Linked DNA regions of Arabidopsis thaliana. The protein of the gene in region 2 interacts with the protein of the main gene of each other region in a pairwise test. Each region holds a gene or a part of one and is shown on either strand. Other genes may lie near its edges.

The links.
Region 1: the proteins of ATX1 (region 2) and HMA5 interact in a two-hybrid assay, tested with the Arabidopsis thaliana proteins (one study listed by BioGRID).
Region 3: the proteins of ATX1 (region 2) and ULT1 interact in a protein complementation assay, tested with the Arabidopsis thaliana proteins (one study listed by BioGRID).

What each region holds. Positions count from the first base shown.
Region 1 is NC_003070.9:23,525,817-23,531,850, reverse strand, and holds HMA5 (heavy metal atpase 5), read right to left. Parts: upstream 4,282-6,034; 5' UTR 4,197-4,281; coding exon 3,894-4,196; intron 3,795-3,893; coding exon 2,391-3,794; intron 2,303-2,390; coding exon 2,048-2,302; intron 1,919-2,047; coding exon 1,796-1,918; intron 1,726-1,795; coding exon 1,246-1,725; intron 1,165-1,245; coding exon 742-1,164; 3' UTR 625-741; downstream 1-624. Other genes in the region: AT1G63430 (Leucine-rich repeat protein kinase family protein), read right to left, coding at 5,400-5,735, 5,918-6,034. UniProt on the Arabidopsis thaliana protein: Involved in copper import into the cell. May play a role in copper detoxification in roots.
Region 2 is NC_003071.7:13,456,426-13,464,158, forward strand, and holds the start of ATX1 (homologue of trithorax), read right to left. Parts: upstream 6,007-7,733; 5' UTR 5,757-6,006; coding exon 5,173-5,756; intron 5,018-5,172; coding exon 4,966-5,017; intron 4,865-4,965; coding exon 4,790-4,864; intron 4,687-4,789; coding exon 4,467-4,686; intron 4,316-4,466; coding exon 4,189-4,315; intron 4,082-4,188; coding exon 3,977-4,081; intron 3,823-3,976; coding exon 3,623-3,822; intron 3,503-3,622; coding exon 3,410-3,502; intron 3,296-3,409; coding exon 3,198-3,295; intron 3,106-3,197; coding exon 2,947-3,105; intron 2,151-2,946; coding exon 2,007-2,150; intron 1,925-2,006; coding exon 1,877-1,924; intron 1,756-1,876; coding exon 1,638-1,755; intron 1,564-1,637; coding exon 1,498-1,563; intron 1,387-1,497; coding exon 1,325-1,386; intron 1,226-1,324; coding exon 1,169-1,225; intron 1,076-1,168; coding exon 1,007-1,075; intron 892-1,006; coding exon 708-891; intron 406-707; coding exon 160-405; intron 1-159.
Region 3 is NC_003075.7:13,983,262-13,987,954, forward strand, and holds ULT1 (Developmental regulator, ULTRAPETALA), read left to right. Parts: upstream 1-1,761; 5' UTR 1,762-2,491; coding exon 2,492-2,778; intron 2,779-3,186; coding exon 3,187-3,531; intron 3,532-3,614; coding exon 3,615-3,789; 3' UTR 3,790-4,181; downstream 4,182-4,693. Other genes in the region: AT4G28180 (uncharacterized protein), read right to left, coding at 1-420; AT4G28200 (U3 small nucleolar RNA-associated-like protein), read right to left, coding at 4,547-4,627. UniProt on the Arabidopsis thaliana protein: Putative transcription factor that acts as a key negative regulator of cell accumulation in shoot and floral meristems. Negatively regulates the size of the WUSCHEL (WUS)-expressing organizing center in inflorescence meristems.

The DNA.
Region 1 (6,034 bases), on a different chromosome or scaffold from region 2:
ATCATACCCGAAAAAGTTTTGGATAATCTTTTTTCTTGATTTCACTTTGGGTAAAGGTATGTACTTACTTGTGCTAGGGTTGCATATAAATTGTTCTCGTCCACATCCAAGACTTATCAAACCATTAACGTAATAAGGAACATTATTGATCCTGCGGCAATACGGACTCGGGATTGAGCATGTCGCACTAAGAGATAAATAATACGGTAGATTCTTGGTTGATGTCGAGGAATACGTGAAGAAGTTACAAATCTGGCGTCCGTTTTGGTTATCTAAATATTTGAATGCAAAGAGTATATGTGGCTGAAGCGAAGACCTAAAGGGAAACGATCTAATGAAATATCGACTGCGGATAATTGTTGCCAATAACTTGGATACAACGAGAAACTTAGCTACGGACTTCACAGGCAATCTCTTCTTGTCTCCGACGTTACTTGACTTACTCGAGACTCCTTCTCTATCTTTGTCCTTTTGCTGCCATGTCTAGTTCTCATTATCACGTTTCAAAGTATAATCCTAATCTTCTTATCTTTATTTGTGTCCTCTCTGCTCTTGTCTTATAATAAGGCAAATATTTTCCTTTTCCAAATAGGAAAAAGGGAAGCAACGAAAATATGGAGGCAAAGTAAATCAATTATTAGTTCATGGACTTAAATTCTAGATAAGGAGTGGAAACTTACTGTACGGTTTGTTTATTGGTTCATCAAATTCAATAACCGGTACTCGGTTTAGTTCAATTTTTTAAACTCGCTCCACCTGAATCTCCCGAATCTCCAGATGATCAAGCTTCTTAGGTCGCTTGTAGTTCTTAAGCAAGAGAGAGCAACACACAACACTAACAGAAGAAGCAGCCATTGCAGCACCTGCAATCCATGGAGGCAACCTGAAACGTGTCCCTGGGAAAAGCACTCCCGCAGCGATCGGTATCCCCATGAGGTTATACCCGAGAGCCCATACGTAGTTGAGACGGATTCTTGAGAACGTTTTCCTTGAAAGATCAATGGCTGTGATCACATCTTCTAAGTTGCTTTTCATCAGAACTATATCCGCTGCTTCTATAGCAATGTCTGTTCCTGCACCTATCGCCATACCTACATCCGCTGCCACGAGAGCCGGTGAGTCATTGATTCCGTCACCTACCATTGCCACAACATGTCCCGCAGCCTGCAATATATATTCATTGCTTTTATCAATTCCATATATGTGAACTTTTTAACATTTAGTGTGGAGCTTTTACTCAAGTACCTGTAATTCCTTGACTTTCTCTGCTTTTTGCTCAGGTTTAGCTTCTGCGATAACAGAGTCGATACCGACTTCTCTAGCAATTGAGTTTGCTGTTCCCCAGTTGTCACCAGTTACCATGATGCTTTTGATATTCATGGATTTTAGAATGGAGATGGCTTCTCGAGCACTCGGTTTTAGAGGATCCGAAACAGACAAAACTCCAATCAGTTCACTGTTTATGGAGACAAGAATTCCGGTCTGGGCCATATCTTCAGAGTCAGCTAGCAACTCTTCAGCATCATCTGGAATAATAACTTTATGATCATTCATCAGATTCTTGTTCCCCACCATAATCTCTCTACCTTTAACGGTGGCTTTCACTCCCTTTCCAGTGATGGACACAAAATCACAGGCTTCTGGCCAGGCAGGGTTCTCTTCGTCGTCTCTGAATTTCTTCGCGTACTCGACAATGGCCTTTGCTAACGGATGCTCACTGTTTACCTGATAAACAAAATAGCATCAACATAGTAATATTACTTTTGATGTAGGCCAGGAGTTTCCAAAAGTTTACCTCAGTTGCAGCAACAAGTTCATAGAACTCTCGAAGTACCATGTTTTTCAGGAGCTTTGTTTTCACAACAACGGGCTTCCCCATCGTGAGAGTTCCTGTCTTGTCAAAGACAATGCAATTTACCTACACCGTCATTGAAACTGTCAGGTTTCACCATTTCAGAAAAGAAATGATCCAGAGAACCTGAGTAAAGTATATACAGTATAGTAAGTTTACAAAGCCATAGACCAAGTTACTGCACACTAAACTAACCTTGTGTGCTCTTTCTAGGGCTTGGCCACCCTTTATCAGCACACCTTGGGATGCACCAACCCCAGTACCAACCATAACAGCAGTTGGAGTAGCCAGCCCAAGAGCACATGGACAAGCTATGACCATGACAGAGATCCCGAACTGAAGAGCTAGCTCAAAGCTATCCATCGAAGAAGGTATCCAGGATTCAGGGTACCAATGCAGTTTCCCAGCTAAGAACCAGGCAAGCCAAGTTGAGAACGAGAGGAAAATTACCTTCAACATTATAATCCAGTGAGTTTAAAAAATAGTTGTGCCTCTAAAAGACTAAATAATTTGTTTATCAACTGGTCAGATTACTCACAAGAGGAACAAAGAACTTGGAAATCCGATCAGCCAACTTCTGTACTGGAGCTTTGGCCAGTTGTGCGGACTCAACAAGTCGAACAATCTGAGCAAGAGCACTCTCTGAACCAACCCTTGTAACCTTAACATGCAGAACACCATTCTCGTTCAAAGTGCCTCCTATAACTGTATCACCCTTTCTCTTTGCCACTGGCCTAGCCTCTCCAGTGATCATACTTTCATTCACATGACTTTGTCCCCATATGACATAACCATCTGAAGCTACTTTAGCACCAGGAACAATTTTGATCACGTCATTCTTCTGTATCAATCGACCATCAATCTCCTCTTCACCAGTCACATTCCCTTCCTTGTCCAAACTCAACAATATCGCAGTGTCGGGTGCCAAGTTCATAAGCTTTGCGATCGCTTGAGATGTTTTTCCTTTAGCCATAACCTCCAAATATTTTCCTAGTATGATAAAGGAAATGAGCATGGCACTAGTCTCAAAGAAATCTACTCCCTTGAAATCAGGAGATGTTGCAGCTCTCAACACTGTGTATAATGAATAGAAATAAGCTGCATTTGTCCCCAGAGCAATCAGAACATCCATATTAGCCGATCCTCGGCGTAAAGCCTTGTAAGAGCCAGTATAAAATCTCCAACCAATGACAAACTGGACAGGAGTAGCCAAAACACACCTTATGATTTCTCCAACGGTGAGCATATTGATGACCTTAAACATGAGCAAATCTTTAATTCCAGGGATATACATAAAGACCATGGCTGTCAAAAACACCGGTACTGTAAAAACCAAACTCCAGAGAAACGACTTATAATACTGCTTAATCTCCCCTTGCTTTTGAGATTCTCTGCCTACCCCTCCCTCTGAGAATATTGTTGCCTTGATGTGACCACTATGACCAAAGACAGTAGACTCAATCACCTGAATGAAATTCCTCGGCCCCGTCACATCAGGTTTGTACAATACAGATATCTTATCAGTTCCATGGCTGATCTCAACACTTTGAACACCAGGAAGTGCTTCAAGCGACCTTTCAATAACCTTCATGGATTCATCAGTAAGCTCACCATCAATCTTCAAATCAATCTTGCTCACATCCTCGCCTGTACTTATAAGCACAGCTTCAAAACCAGCATTTTCTATCTCCTCCAATAGTCTATCATAGCTCGAGAGTCTAGGATCATAATGAATCTCAGCTTCTTCAATTGCTAAAGCCACATGTGCTCTTTGTACACCATTAACCGATTGCAAAACTCTTTCGATTGTTGAAGAACACGAAGTACAAGTCATACCATTAATTCTTATTCTACAAACTTGTCTCGACCTCTCATTCGCTTCATTTTCGATCAACGATGCTTCAAATCCAGCATCCTCAATAGTCTCACGAATTGTCTCCACCTATAAATCCACAATTACACAGAAAAAGAAAACCTAAATCCCAAATCAAGTCTTCTCAGAAACAATTCAACCGAGATTCGAGAGAATATCATAGCTTACATCGACAGAGTTAGGGTAAAACAGAATCTGAGCACGATTATTCAGAGCATCGATGACAGCATCGTGAATTCCAGGGAGACGCTTGATAGCCTTTTCAACAGATCCAGCGCAAGCAGAGCAAGTCATTCCTAACACTTGAAAAACCGCCCTGGAAATCGGATCATCGATCTCAAAAGCCGCCGTCTCCGACGATGATCCTCCGCCGCCGTCGCGAGACCTGGTAAGGTGCTTCCGCACCAGAGGGTAACGCTCGCTGAATCTCTCTTTCCTTATGCATGTAAGCGACAAAAGCTTCGTCGCCATGTAATCGATCGTCTTGTGCGCGAATCTTGTTCTTCTCGTATCGAATTTGAGTTTTTAAAAAGCTTTTAGGTTTATGGGAAATGATGAGACTTTTTGAAATTGTTTTGCTTTTTAAATTGGAACGAAGACGAGGGAAAGCGGTTTACGACATCTAAAATGACAAAAATGTGTGGGCCGATTTGTAAATGTTTAAACTATAGGGCCCTACCAAACAATACTTTACTTTTAAATTTCAACCGCCATATATAAAAAGAGAGAATTTCAACCTCAACAGATTAAATTCCAATTTTCTTTTAAATTATATAATTCAAATTTAATCGTCCAAAGTAACAACACCTTTGACTTTAAGGTTCGCTAAAAAAATGGATTGATTAGTGATGACAAAAAAAAAAGGATTGATTAGTGATATTATTACGACATGATGAAGTAATCTTTTTTTTTTTTTGATAATTAAGAACAGGCCTGATTAAGAATGATTAAGTAATCTTTACTTGTTTTTTTCTGTTTCAATAAAATAATATGACAATATACTAACGAAACTTGGCTAATCCATATCTGTTTTAACTAAAGGTAAAATGGAATCTATTTTACGTGTCTGTCTAATCTTTTATGGCACTCAACCTCGTAAGAAGAAGTCATACCAAAATTGAAGATTGAAAACAGTCAAAGCATTGATAAATGGGCCTATTGACTTGTGTGGCCCATTTAGACTGATACGAGGCTAAATGTGGGCCTTTTATTAAGTTGATCCATGCATTATGATTTATGAACTTCAACTACGTTTCTTCTTCTTCTTGGTCCGCAAACACTTGTCTGAGACTGATATTGATCTCAAATTGATTGCCTTGAAGCTTTTTCCAATGAGACTAATCATGTCAAACAATAGATACAATGCTCTATATAATATAAGATTAAAGGTTAGATCCAAACACACTACATTAACATTCTTCAACCTCTCATAGATTTTCAAATAATAGAGAAAATCTTTCAGAAACTATGTTCATCTCTTCATTTACAAACACTTTGAACCACCCAAAACTCAAAACTAATCAAGAACACAGACACACTCGTCAAGATCAGAGCAAAAAAAAACAATATCAAATGTTGTAATCAGTCGATTGATTTACAGAGTTGAGAGTTTGGTTTTTAGTTAGTTAGCATTGCATCATTCAACACTCGTTTTCTTTCCTTTCATCATTCTCATCACGAGTCAAGCGCCAGCTCGGCCCAAGCCAAAGAAGATGATCTAAGCTCCGCTGAAATAGACAGACTGATTCTGCTCTCCAATGTCTCGCATAGCTCTTGCACTGAGGGCTTGTTGTGATTGTTGTTGTTGTTGGTTGGGTCCCGGTTCAAGCATTGGCTAGCCACTTCGCATACCGTCTCAAGATCTTCTTGGTTAAAATGTTTCAGCTCTGGATCCACCAATCCCGACATTGCCTCTGGTGCTTCAAGGAACTCCTTTGCCTGCAAAATGCAATAGATACGTTTCAAATTCAAAACTTTTGCCACAAAAACCACATTTGAGGTGCGATATAACTAAACATGTGAACAAGGTCAAGACTTCCACATCCAGACGAAAACTCGTCTCTCCCTGAACAGACGACTCCATTCCTACTAGGCTAACAGTAACAAAGTTTTTGATATAAATGGTGAAAAAAGAGGAGGAGGAAGTAACTCAGTTTCAAGTGTTTAGAGAAACTGAGTTGTTTTTGTCTTACCCATTCAATTAAGAATCCTTTGTCTTTGCAATAAGGAGGTCTTCCACTGACAATTTCCAGCAAAAGAATCCCGAATGCATAGATATTACCCGACACATCAAGATATCGGCTCTCCAT
Region 2 (7,733 bases):
GAAAGAAGCTTAGGATGTGACTAGATCATTCTGAAAGGAATCCTACAAATTATTTTTATCCTACAGAAATCCTACTATATTTTTTATCTTAGCAGAAGTTGAAAAGACCTGTAATATCTTTTAAGATTTACTGAAAGTTAAAGAATAACGAATGCTTACCAAATGCTAATCTCTTCCTGTATGTTTCCCTCATGTATCTATATTTCTCAGCCATAGAAAGAATGTTGCTTGGAGTATTCATCTGTGACACCTTGGATCCGTGAATGCTTTTGTACGTTGAAAACTCAAGTCTAGAGTAACCACCAATAACATATGGCTGATTCTCAACAAATAACCGCTTTGAAGAAGCAGCAGCAAGAGCTTCAGGTTCCTTTCGCCCTCTTCTGCCAAAACAATTATAAGGCTCTGCAACAATAGACGGAAATTATCATCTATACTGACCCATAGGATGCAAACACGAATAAAAGTAGAAAAGAATGGAAACACAAAAGCCTGAAATTTGACCTTTGTATCAAATCTAAAAAATGCTTGTATATAAAGTAAGAAACTGATATCTTAAGAGGATATGTAAGAATATGAAAGAGAACAAAACACACATGGCCGTATGCAAGGTAAAAGAATAATGATGAAATAATCCTGTCCCAAAAGTGTGGTGTGAATCTAAATTTTAATCTTAGCATCCACAGATAAACGCAGTAGCTGCATACCTGTCCGAGCACAGCCAGATGGATTAGGTGGTGGGAGATACTCAGAAGTTTTATGAGTAGCGGATTTGATCCTGTCTTCTGATCCTAGGCAGGCAGTTGATGTTTGTCGATGTCGCTTGCAGAATGAAAGCATGCGGATACACTGATCTGCTTCTTCACCCTCCACTGACATGTCATTCTCAAGCTACATGGAGAGTCAGGAAAGCAATAATCAGTTAGAAACATCTCTTTTGTGGACTTGCTGTGTTAGAGTACATGTGTGTAAGTGGGAAAGAAATTTTTTTTATTCCCTAAGGTACCTCAACACAGAGACCAGCAGCTCGCGCGCAGAGTGGATGATATGCCACGCGACAAGAATTGTTTGAACACTGAAATGTAGTCATTTTAAAATTATATATATCAGCTCTTGAACAATGCATAAGAATGATTCAGTTTTCTCTTAACATAGAACGAAATCTTACTTGGATACAAGCTCCATAAGATACCCCGCAGATGGTGCACATTAATTTCCAACGATCCTAGTTTTAAGAGTAGAGAAAAAGAGGAAGAGGGATAAGAGTTTTGAAAAGGCCACAGTACCAAGGTAAAGGAATCCGAACAAGAAAATAAGTACGTACCTTGCTGACTTTATTCACCCCATCAATAGGTTCCATCTTCTTGACATCAGATAAACATGTTTCTGAATAAAATAACAAGTGTTAATTTGTAAATAGGAAAGTAATAGTGTAATACGGCCTCCTATTAGTAGGAAAGCAGACTTATACAGAACAACAAATCGTTAAGATTGAACCTGGGATCCATATAGCACAAGCCAGATGAGCCCAGCGACCATCAGTTGTCGGCTTCATAGCACCCCCTAAAAGAAGTTTCAATTATTCACTAATGAAAGCACATATAGACTCCATACACCAAATGGTACGGTAAAATTACCTACTACAGGACAAAGACAACACCGTGGAGGCATATCAGGAGCACCAGGACGACATAAGTTGCATAACCACAAAGCACCATCACAGGGTTCTAGCTCTCCATAGCATTTAGCATGGACCTAGTAGTGGACCAGGAATTCAAATTGAGTCATACCCAAGAGAAAGAAAGAGCACAAGGCACTAAAGATATACATCTAAGAGGTATATGATAGCTAAAAAAGCCCAGAGCATGAGCTATACCATCATTCTACATTTATCACATTGCAGGAACAAATTGTTCTCATACTCCTGCAGACAAAAAATATATAAATCAGAACTAACTAAAGAGAAACGTTTGAAATCTCATGTGAAACAAAAAAAAAACCTTTACCTCATCCATGTGGCAGACATTGCACTTATCGAGATCTTTCCAGTCAACACGGACAGGTCGGTAACCAGTAGGCTGATTTTGATGCCTTCCCAAACTATTTTTGCACATGGAAACATGGGACGATGGTCTGGATTTTGATAAATCCTGCTACGTAATGGTATATTAGGGTGAGACACATATTAAGTGTAGACACTAGAAGCTAAACAATAATGCAATTGTATAAAACAGGGCGCCGGCAAGCAGTACATAGGGAATTAATTATAAAAGTTTGCAAATTCTAGCAACCATCTTGATAGGTATCTGCCTAATGAAATAATATAAGGTAATATGTCCTACAAAACGAGTTTCGCTATAAAGACTCCAGAACAGAATTCTACTCTTTAGTTTCACTTAAACACAAATTTTCTTTCAATCAATAGACCAAATGCACATATTTTATCCTTAGAAACTCACTGTAAATACTTGTTAAGCTGGCTTCGATTAATAACTGTTAATTTAATTCATACAGTTTTCTTACAGAAGAGAAAGAAACCGTAACAATTAAAGAAAAGAAGCCATAGTCACTAGGCAGAAATGATTATTTCGTAGGTGAAGTTAGTGTTGTCTCATTGATGAAGATGTGATTCTAATATGCCTTTAGACCGGAAATAGCGAATTAGGCTACCCATAAACCAATTAGCAAAGAGCTGCATAGAAATATTTAGTGCACAAGCTTAAATGTCTTACAGGAAAACTTGGTTTGTGCATCAAACATTCATATTAAACATAAATGAGACCCGCTTACACGTTTTAGAGATAAAGCAAAAGCAAGGGTACCACAAAATATTCAGTGTCCAGACAATTATATGATTTTTATGAGACCAAAATGCATGTGCAAGCAGATTATCATGAAAACACATGCACACCACCACAAATAATTTTACATGCAATGACAAGGTACCTGTACAAGTTTAATGACTTCTGGGTTGGAGAGACCAAACATGTCTGTACCAGATCCATTTAGTTCTTCACCCAAAATATTAGGACTGTCAGAATTCTGGACCTTTTTTATCCTATTATATATTTTGTTCCAGCAGGCCGATGGAGTAGGCCCTTTGAACTGCCAAAAAATTAGTTACCGATGTTAGCCAGAGATAGATTCTTGACCTGAAAGTTCAATAAAACAGATACTAATAGATATGTTTAACTCACCTGCTCTCCACTATCTGCAGTCACTATAAACAGCGGATGAGTCTTTGTCTCGGCATCTCTGAGCACTTCCATCTTGTACAAGGCAGATGCACTATGATCTGCTTAAAACCAAAAGCAACAACCCACATCACATTGAGAACTAATCACAATTAACCAAATATGGAAAAATACCTGATTTATAAGTAAAAGCCAAAAACTGATTAACAAATAACCTGTGAGTGATGTGAACTTTCTCATCGCCGTATACCCTTCAGGCCAAATATGATTCTCATCCTTGAAAAACTGAGAGTCTGTCACAACCTTTCCTGTAAGACAAGTCATACGCCTATATATTATCATTGGAGTTTTCCTATAACCAACTATAAATAATGAACCATAGAATGAAAGATTATACACCATACTTATATATAAGTTTCATGGCTTACCAAGATTTATTATTAGCAGATCCCCTATTATATGCCGGAAGTCTACATGTTCTGTTGGTCTCAACCACACTTCTCCATCATTAAGAAGATCACCACCCGAGTTTCCCTCTTCTGTACTATTAGCCATATCGGAATCAACAGAATCAGCTCCCTTTTGAAGTTGACTCATTCTTTCTGGAAGCCTGTGTGCCTTCAGATACCTGAGTGAGGCAAAATAACAGAAATTTCAGGACAGGTAACATGTCCAGGTTTCAAAATGAAACATCATGAAGAAATGATTGGTCTAATTGTTAATGCAACATGTACTGGAAAGTCAAGAAAGCAGAATGCCAAAGAAAAGCGAGAGGGACTTGCATTTTTGCTTCCTGCATGCCCTCTTCAAACCGAGGTTGTTTGCACTTCAGGTGAGATGGCGAAAGAAGCCCTTTGATAAATGAGATTGCTTGCTTTACTTTTATTCTATAAAACCAAAGGATGTTAACTTCAGCTTGATAATGTGTAACATTGATCTCAACATCTCAGTAGAAAAACGAGATTTTTTAAGTATATAGGAAACGCTGACTAACCTAGCAAAATCATGAGTTCCAAAAAATTGGACCAAGAGTGATCCTCCTCCAGATACCTTGTTGTTTAGACCTTTCCGCTCTCCGATAATGGATTCGTCTACAATAACTGCTGGCCACATAGCATGACCTGTCCGAATAGGAAAGCAAATGCAGTTCTATGGAAGTCAGTAGGTAGTTTTCTTTGTCTACATGCTTCCAACAGCATCAACTTGCTGATAGCATAAGGAGGTATTTTTTTTAATATATGAATAAAAGGTGGAAATCAGTTTAAGACAAACCAGCTAGTTTCGCCCATACAATGTCTCCAGGCTCAAAATCTTGGCATTCGTCCAAAGTAGCTGCCAATACAACCATCTCATCGTAATCACGGCCATCGACAGTCACATTACTAGTACAAAACTTCAGATGTAATAGCTCCATCTCTTCACGAGAAACCAAAAATTTGATCATTTCACGATCAAAAACTATATCCTCATCACATCCATCCCTATATTTGACCTAAGGAAGAATTTAATCATGGTTAGAGGAACAAGCTTTTACATATATCATAGCTCAAAGAACTACCCAACTCATAACTCAAGTAGAGTAGAGAATTACTTACAGTGTAACGCTTTCTCTCTGCACTATATCCAACAATGGAACCTTCATACCAAAGAGCGTCCAGCGGCCAAAAAACCTAGGGATTAAACGACAACCAATTGTTAAGATGTCCCATTCACAAAAAAAGTGGAAAATGCAATAGCTTAAAGTGGACAATTGTCTAGTTAAAACACTCGCCTTGCATTGCAGCCCTATGAAACTTGTAGGATCCACACCATCATAACTCAACCTGCCACATCAAAACTCCATCATAAGGAGTCTGCCCACTAACAATAAAAGGTCTTCAAAGTCTGAACTAAGAAAATCATCAGTGCAAAACAACAGCGCAACAGTTTCAAAGTCCATGAATTTCAACAGTTAAAGAGATGATAGGTAGACCCTAACCTGACCCATTTCTTAGCTGAACGAGAAGCCAGAGTCGCCTTGTCCTGATTCTTGCTAGAAGACCCCTTCCTTCGGGATGACCCATTTTGCTTATTCCCACTAAACGCATTGTTTTCCTTACACCTTCTTAAACCAATCGACTCCATACCCGATTTCACCAACTCACAATTACCAATCTTCCTTCTCTTCTTCTCCTCAAAACAATCAATTTCATCAAGCTCCACACTTTCAGTCTTCACAGCCACCGCCTGATCTAGTAAACACTCCCGTAGCGGCCTCTTACGGCGACGATAGTAGACGCGAACAATCTCAGGACGCTGAATCCGCAACTTATAATCATCCGAACGACAACAATCGTCACTAGCACTAACACCGCTACCTTCAATCTCGAATTGCTCAATCATCGGAAGCTTCTGGGCCTTAACCTTCTTAGACATCAGACTGTGAGAACCAACGGCATTAACACAGCACAATGCCGATGAAGGAATAGAGTAGATACTCTCAATAGAATCGTAGCGAATCGGAGCTTCCACTAGATCGTGGACATCAATTTCGATCTGGGTTTCGTTAGAAAAACACGCCATGGAGATTATTCGGAGGGAGAAAGCACAGGGCTTCGTAAAGGAGACACCTTTGCTCACTCTCTCTATCCTTCTTTCACTAAACCCCCAAAAAAATTGCTAGGGAATTTCGTGGATTGGAGAAATTAGGGTTTAGGAAGAAGAATCAGAGAAAAAGGGAAAAAAACAGATCCTTTGGAGGGAGAAGCTAAAAGGCTTTTTTACGTTTCCCGCCGGGTTTATTAAGATGATGACAAGTCTTTCAGATCTATTGCTCTGTCTCCTTATATATCTCCGCATACATACATTCATATATAGTGTGTGTGTGTATGTATATAAAAATTAATATCTGGTTAATAAAAACATATAAAACTAAAAATAAAATAAATAAAAATTCCACTTGTAGAAAAAAAAAATCCCGGTTGTCATGTATTTTATTTTCAACAAGAGTCTTTTTTTTTTGGGCAAAATTCAACAAGAGTCTCTGATTCTTTTATATAGTTTTGTTTTCAGATAATTGTTGTTTACCAGTTTTTGTGTAATCTTCACTACATGGAATTTGTTTTGTTTTTTTTCAGTTCATACGTATATTTTTGGGTTTTTAGTCTGTTAAGTATAGTGTATAAGACATATTTTTCTGGTTAATCCAAATTAAATTCCATTGGAACAAAAAGACAAGATTGACTAGAATTTGAATGAAGGTAGAAATCAACCGAATTGCTCATAAATTCAATTATTGAATGGGGTTCTTCAAGTAATACTACCTATTTTCTCAAATGAGCTAGAGAATTTTCTTGTGAGGAAATTCCAACGATTTGCTCCCTTGGTATTACTTGTTTTGGATTGTTCTGAAGTTTTCTAGAATAATATAATATTTCAACCTAAAAAGCTTAGTTTGTGGATAAATAATCAAACATATGTTAAAGATTTTTGTGATAGATACAAGATTTTTTCTATGAATCGGACAAGTGGAACTCTAATCCAGTTTTTAAGGTGTGATAAGTTGAAGTAAAGATATGAGGTTAAAAGAAACATTTCAACTCACTTCCCTTATCTTCATTCTTAAATGAACGGCTATTCATAGCAATTACTTGATTTGGATTCATAAACCGAATATCTGTCTAGTAGGAGTAGTCTTTACTTAACTTAACTAAAGAACAATATACGGTTGACTGTAGTATATTAGTATGCTTTTGACACATGGAAAATACCGCTGCTAACTTGATCGCATCCAGTGACTTTTGCAGTGTGTCATATATGTTAATAAGGATGTAATCATCATGGTTAACAGTAGTTGCATTTTCTTATGCGGTAGCATACAATGCTCACTAGTGCTCTAAATTGATCCACATAGGGATGCTATACACGCTAGAGACATATATATTTAAAAGTAAGTAAGGTTAAAATACTTGCTTTCATGAGCTTCAAGATAGGTGATGTGTGTACCTCCAAAGTTCTTCCCATCAACTAGGCATTAGAATATGTCGTTTCCTAGATACTTGGGGCAGATTGGCGGCTTATCAGCTTTTCGGATGAAATTTTGATACTTGGACAAACTGGCAGCTGATGGATGGAACTTATTGTCAAAGTATCCATATAGCGTTTGTTGGTTGGCTTTCTCTAGATACCCACAAAATTTACACAACACATATGGCCTATGGTCACAAAATTCTTTGATGTCATCTAACATTGGGATTCATCATCGCTTACATGATTTACGTCCATATATACTTGGACATAAATATTATGGAATGAACAATTTTAAATTTTCATCAAAATACCAACCACACTCACTTAGGATTATGACCAGAACAAATAAAATAATACATACTTGATTAAAAGGAGAAAAACATTTTTTTATGTCTTTGTTAGTTTTTATTTTAAACTATATATTCATCAAAAAAAAAGAGGGAAAATCACATTTTCAGACACATACATGTCCAAAAATATTTGTTTTCCCCTCAAATTCACCTGAACTTAATTAGTAAGAGAATCAGTGAC
Region 3 (4,693 bases), on a different chromosome or scaffold from region 2:
TTCTGCCGGAGATCTGAGGACTCTGTCAGGCCTGTTACGGCGAGAGGTGGAAGAAGAAGGAGGAGGAGGACGGTGAGGTTTGCTGAGAGCATCGTCTTCGAGGATGGACGCAGCGGTAGCAGTTGTGGCAGTGGAGTAGCTGTGAGAGACAGAGACGCTGCAAATGTCGGACTTGCTGTGAGAGATCTCCGGAGCTGGAGGTGAGAGAGGAAGAGGAACTTGAGCTTCTGAATCTGAGACTGTTGGTGCGGAAGGAACGAGGTCGGGGACTGGGACAGGGACGGAGATGGGTATGGGGACGGAGACAGAGACTGATTGAACAACGACTTCTTTGACGGATTCTTCTTCGAGGGGTGGAGGAATTTGAGCGGCGGCGACTGGTGGAGCTGTGACTTTTCCGGCGCTGAAGCAGCATCCCATTTTCTTTCTACTTTTGCTAATTCCTCTCTCTCTCTCACTCTGCTCTCTCGAGAGTCGCGAGTCATATACTTGTCAACTTTAATGGGCCTCTTTCTCATGTTGGCCCATATTCACTATGGGCTCGATTATGCTCTTTTGTTTTATCCACTTTGATAAAGAATCTGATATTTGTCTCATTCATTCATATCTTCAAAGACAAAACGCTAGTGTTTGATTTTCTTTAAAATATTCAAAAGAAAATTATGCGGATGGACAAATATCTCGTTAGATAGCGACCCATCATCGTTGGGATAATTTCAACACACAACTGCCGATTGCCTTGGACAGGGACACCGGACATGTAACGACAGTAAGTAAAATGCTTAATACTTATACTACCAACATCTTCCTTTTGGTCGTCAAAAATGTAGTTGAAGATAAGAACTGACCATCATTTTTTAGCTCATCATCCATCCACTATGTTGCATTTACCTCATTGTTGAATAAGAACGCGTTGAGCAAGCTACTTTTTCATCTTTAGTTGGTTTTGTGTTAAATAAAACTTGAAGTGGAAAGAACCTAACATCGTTGCTGCAAACTTGATATTCGAATATTTATAACCACCATCTTAAAAACAAAAACAAAATATGAGAAGTTTAAAAACATGACAAAACTTTGAGTAGAAATCAGAAAGGGGCCAAGGCTCGTAAACTTCTAAACCCCAAGCCCATAATAAATGTTTTGAATCCATAAGTTCACTCCCATCCGCTACTCTTTTTTTCAGTTTCTTGGGAACAACTAGGAGGAAAGAGAGTTTTTAAAGTTCAAAGTAAAGATGTTGTTATACAAAAATTGTGTTGACAACTTATTCATATTCATGTCTCTGTAAAGATGTTGACATAATTATTTCACTTTCTTCAAAAAAAAAAACTGGCGACATTTTCTTTAATTCTCATTTATCCATTATGTACTTTTTGTTTTTGTTTTGCAACCCATCCATTGTGTATGTACTTAAGATAACAACAACAACAAATATACCATATATAAATCATATGGTCTACATACAACACTAGTATCCTCATCCGTATTAAAAAAATGAGTTCCTCGAACACATATAGCTACAAATATAGAGATATGACTTTGGGGTTTGAGCGCATTGCAGAATACCTAACAGGCATAGATGTCAATGACGTCGTCGTCATGTACTTGGTTACTAGTTGTTTTATAGACAACTAGTTGATTAAACCTTTTCTTTTAACAATTAAACAAACCAACCTTTATATATTTCTTCAACTTTTATTTTATATAAAAAAATAGCCAATAGGTGTGGTGGTGAAATGACTCGGTAACCAATGAATCCTGGTGAAAGGGAAGAGCCAAGAATTTGCAGAACCTCAAAGGAAAAAAAAAGGACCTTTGAAAATTACAAAATCAAGAACTTCTTGAAAAGAAGTAAGTACAAGAAATAGAAAAAGGAGTTATGACATTATAAAACCAAAGAGGAACCTGAAACAATTGACACAACCCTATTCCTCAACTTCTTCTCTCTTATGTCTTATCAAAAGCCTCTCACCCACCGCCTCTGTTCCTGCTCCTCTTATCAACCATAGAAATTCTCTCTCTCTTCCCTATATACAATACAATGTTATGTAGGTGATACATACTATAACATAGTTGTATATAAACATTAATATAATGGAGAGGTCCCATGCCCCCACGAGTTTTGTTTTGTTGGCCAGCTAATTCGCATCCTTTTTGTTTTGTTTGTATAAGAGAGTTTCTTTGTTACTTACTATAACCACAAGACCACAAGAAGGCCAAAGAGAGGCTAAACTAAAAGAGCTCTCTTTCTAATTTATTTCTCTCTCTTCTCTTCTCCCGAAAAGCCCTTAATAAGCTTTTGCTTTGATATCAGATCTCTCTTACGGCTTTTGAGATGCGTGCTCCTTTAGGGCTTTCCTTTTATACCCCAAAACGAGGCCTTTCCTTCTTCTCTCATCTCCTAATTCTACCCTCTTCCTCTTCCTCTTCCTTCTCTCTCTCTTCTCATTCTCCTCATACGCTATAAGGAGAAAATCTCAGAGAGAGAGTGATGGCGAACAATGAGGGAGAGATGCAATGTGGGTCCATGTTGTTTAAGCAAGAGGAGCTACAAGAGATGAGTGGGGTCAATGTTGGTGGCGATTACGTTGAGGTCATGTGTGGTTGTACCAGTCACCGATACGGCGATGCTGTTGCTAGACTTAGGGTTTTCCCCACCGGTGACCTTGAAATCACCTGCGAATGCACACCTGGTTGCGATGAAGGTCTCTCTTTTTTTGTCTCTACTGTCTCTTTCTCGTGTCTTTCTGATGCTTTTGGGAAAATGGGTTTTGATTTGTGTGCATGTTACATGTGAATGTGTGTGAGATTAAACGTTTGTCTCTGTCTAGCTACTATCACATTGGGCTGGTAAAGCTAGGGTCTTTAGCATGATTACATATTTATCAATGAGTCTTAGTGTATGCTAGCTAGATCCGTTCTTGTAGAAAATGAAATGACTTGATTTGCCACAGTAATGTTTTAGGCTGTCTGTTTATCTGTAAATGGTAATGCGTCTCTTTGTTACTGGCCAAGTGGTAGCTTTATTGACAAATGATATGTCTCGCTTAGCTGTACGTGTATGTCAAAGTTTGATGCAACCTAGTTCTTGTGGTATCTTGTAGCTAACAATTCCATCTCTAGCTTATTTGGTATAGATGCTCATTTAGAGCTCTCTTTGAAAGTAAAAGTGACTGACTTGAACAGTTTTGATTGTATGATGCTAGACAAGTTGACACCAGCTGCATTCGAGAAGCATTCTGGAAGAGAAACGGCAAGGAAGTGGAAAAACAATGTGTGGGTTATCATTGGGGGCGAAAAGGTTCCATTGTCAAAGACAGTATTGCTCAAGTACTACAATGAATCATCAAAGAAGTGCAGTAGATCAAACAGATCACAAGGTGCCAAAGTTTGCCATAGAGATGAGTTTGTTGGGTGTAACGATTGTGGTAAAGAGAGGAGGTTCAGGCTGAGGAGCAGAGACGAATGCCGCTTGCACCACAATGCAATGGGTGATCCAAACTGGAAATGCTCAGATTTCCCATACGACAAGTAGGTGTCTTTTGTTGTCCTTGTATGTACTTAAGTTTGATGCAAATGATGTATTATATCAATGAATGGTGTGGTGGTCGTAGGATAACATGTGAGGAGGAAGAAGAGAGAGGGAGCAGGAAGGTGTACAGAGGGTGCACACGTTCACCTAGTTGCAAAGGCTGCACTTCCTGCGTCTGTTTTGGCTGCGAGTTATGCCGTTTCTCTGAGTGTACTTGCCAGACTTGTGTCGACTTCACCAGCAATGTCAAAGCTTGAAGAAGGCAGTCCATTAAGAAAAGAAAAAAAAATGTCTGTCTCAGACTTTGTTCGTTGCATTTAATAACTTATTCTAAAACTCCAAACAGTTAATTATCTTATCTATGGGTTGTGAATGGAGCAATTGAAAAAAAAGTAGAAAAAGTTGATTTCCAAGAAGAACATGCAGACGAGCATGCCTGAGTTTAGTGCATGTCTAGATTTTTGGCTAGTGGCAGGGAAAAGTGTTATTAATAGTTTGTTGTTACTCTTTATTTTATTAGCTGTTGACAGCTTTGTGAGACGAAGTTGTCAATGGCACAGCTACTCGGTCTGTGATTTAGCCATTTAGGAGATGGGACATGGAAAGAGACATTTTCTTAATACCCAAAAAGCCCTGACGTCTTGTTTTGAACACAGTAACCATATGGGATCCCTTAAGTGATGTATACTTTTATTATCAACAACAAACATTAGAATCATAAAGACCAAGTCGTCACCAGGTAAAGAGGATACGAGAATAAATTCATCAGAAACATGTGAAACATGTGAAACGTGAAACCAAAGACGTAGAGGCATGTATGAACTTCAACATGTTTTTGTATCAAAAAAGTGTTTTAGAGTATAACTAGACTCATAAAGTAGTACATCGACTCCTGTTCTGTTACAACCAAAATTCATATCTTAAGGATCACATAACTGAAACCTGCATCCACAAATACGAGGCAAACATAGTGTTTCCTTCATCATACATACTAGACTACCTATAAATCAGAGATCAAACTATGAAATCCGCGGATTCATTCAGAGTCTTTCTCGCACGCCAATACACTCCATTGGCTGTCTCTGATGTTCCCAGCTGCAATAAACATCAGAAAGATTGTCAGTTAGCATACTTGACACTAAGTCATAGTATTGGTTTTGG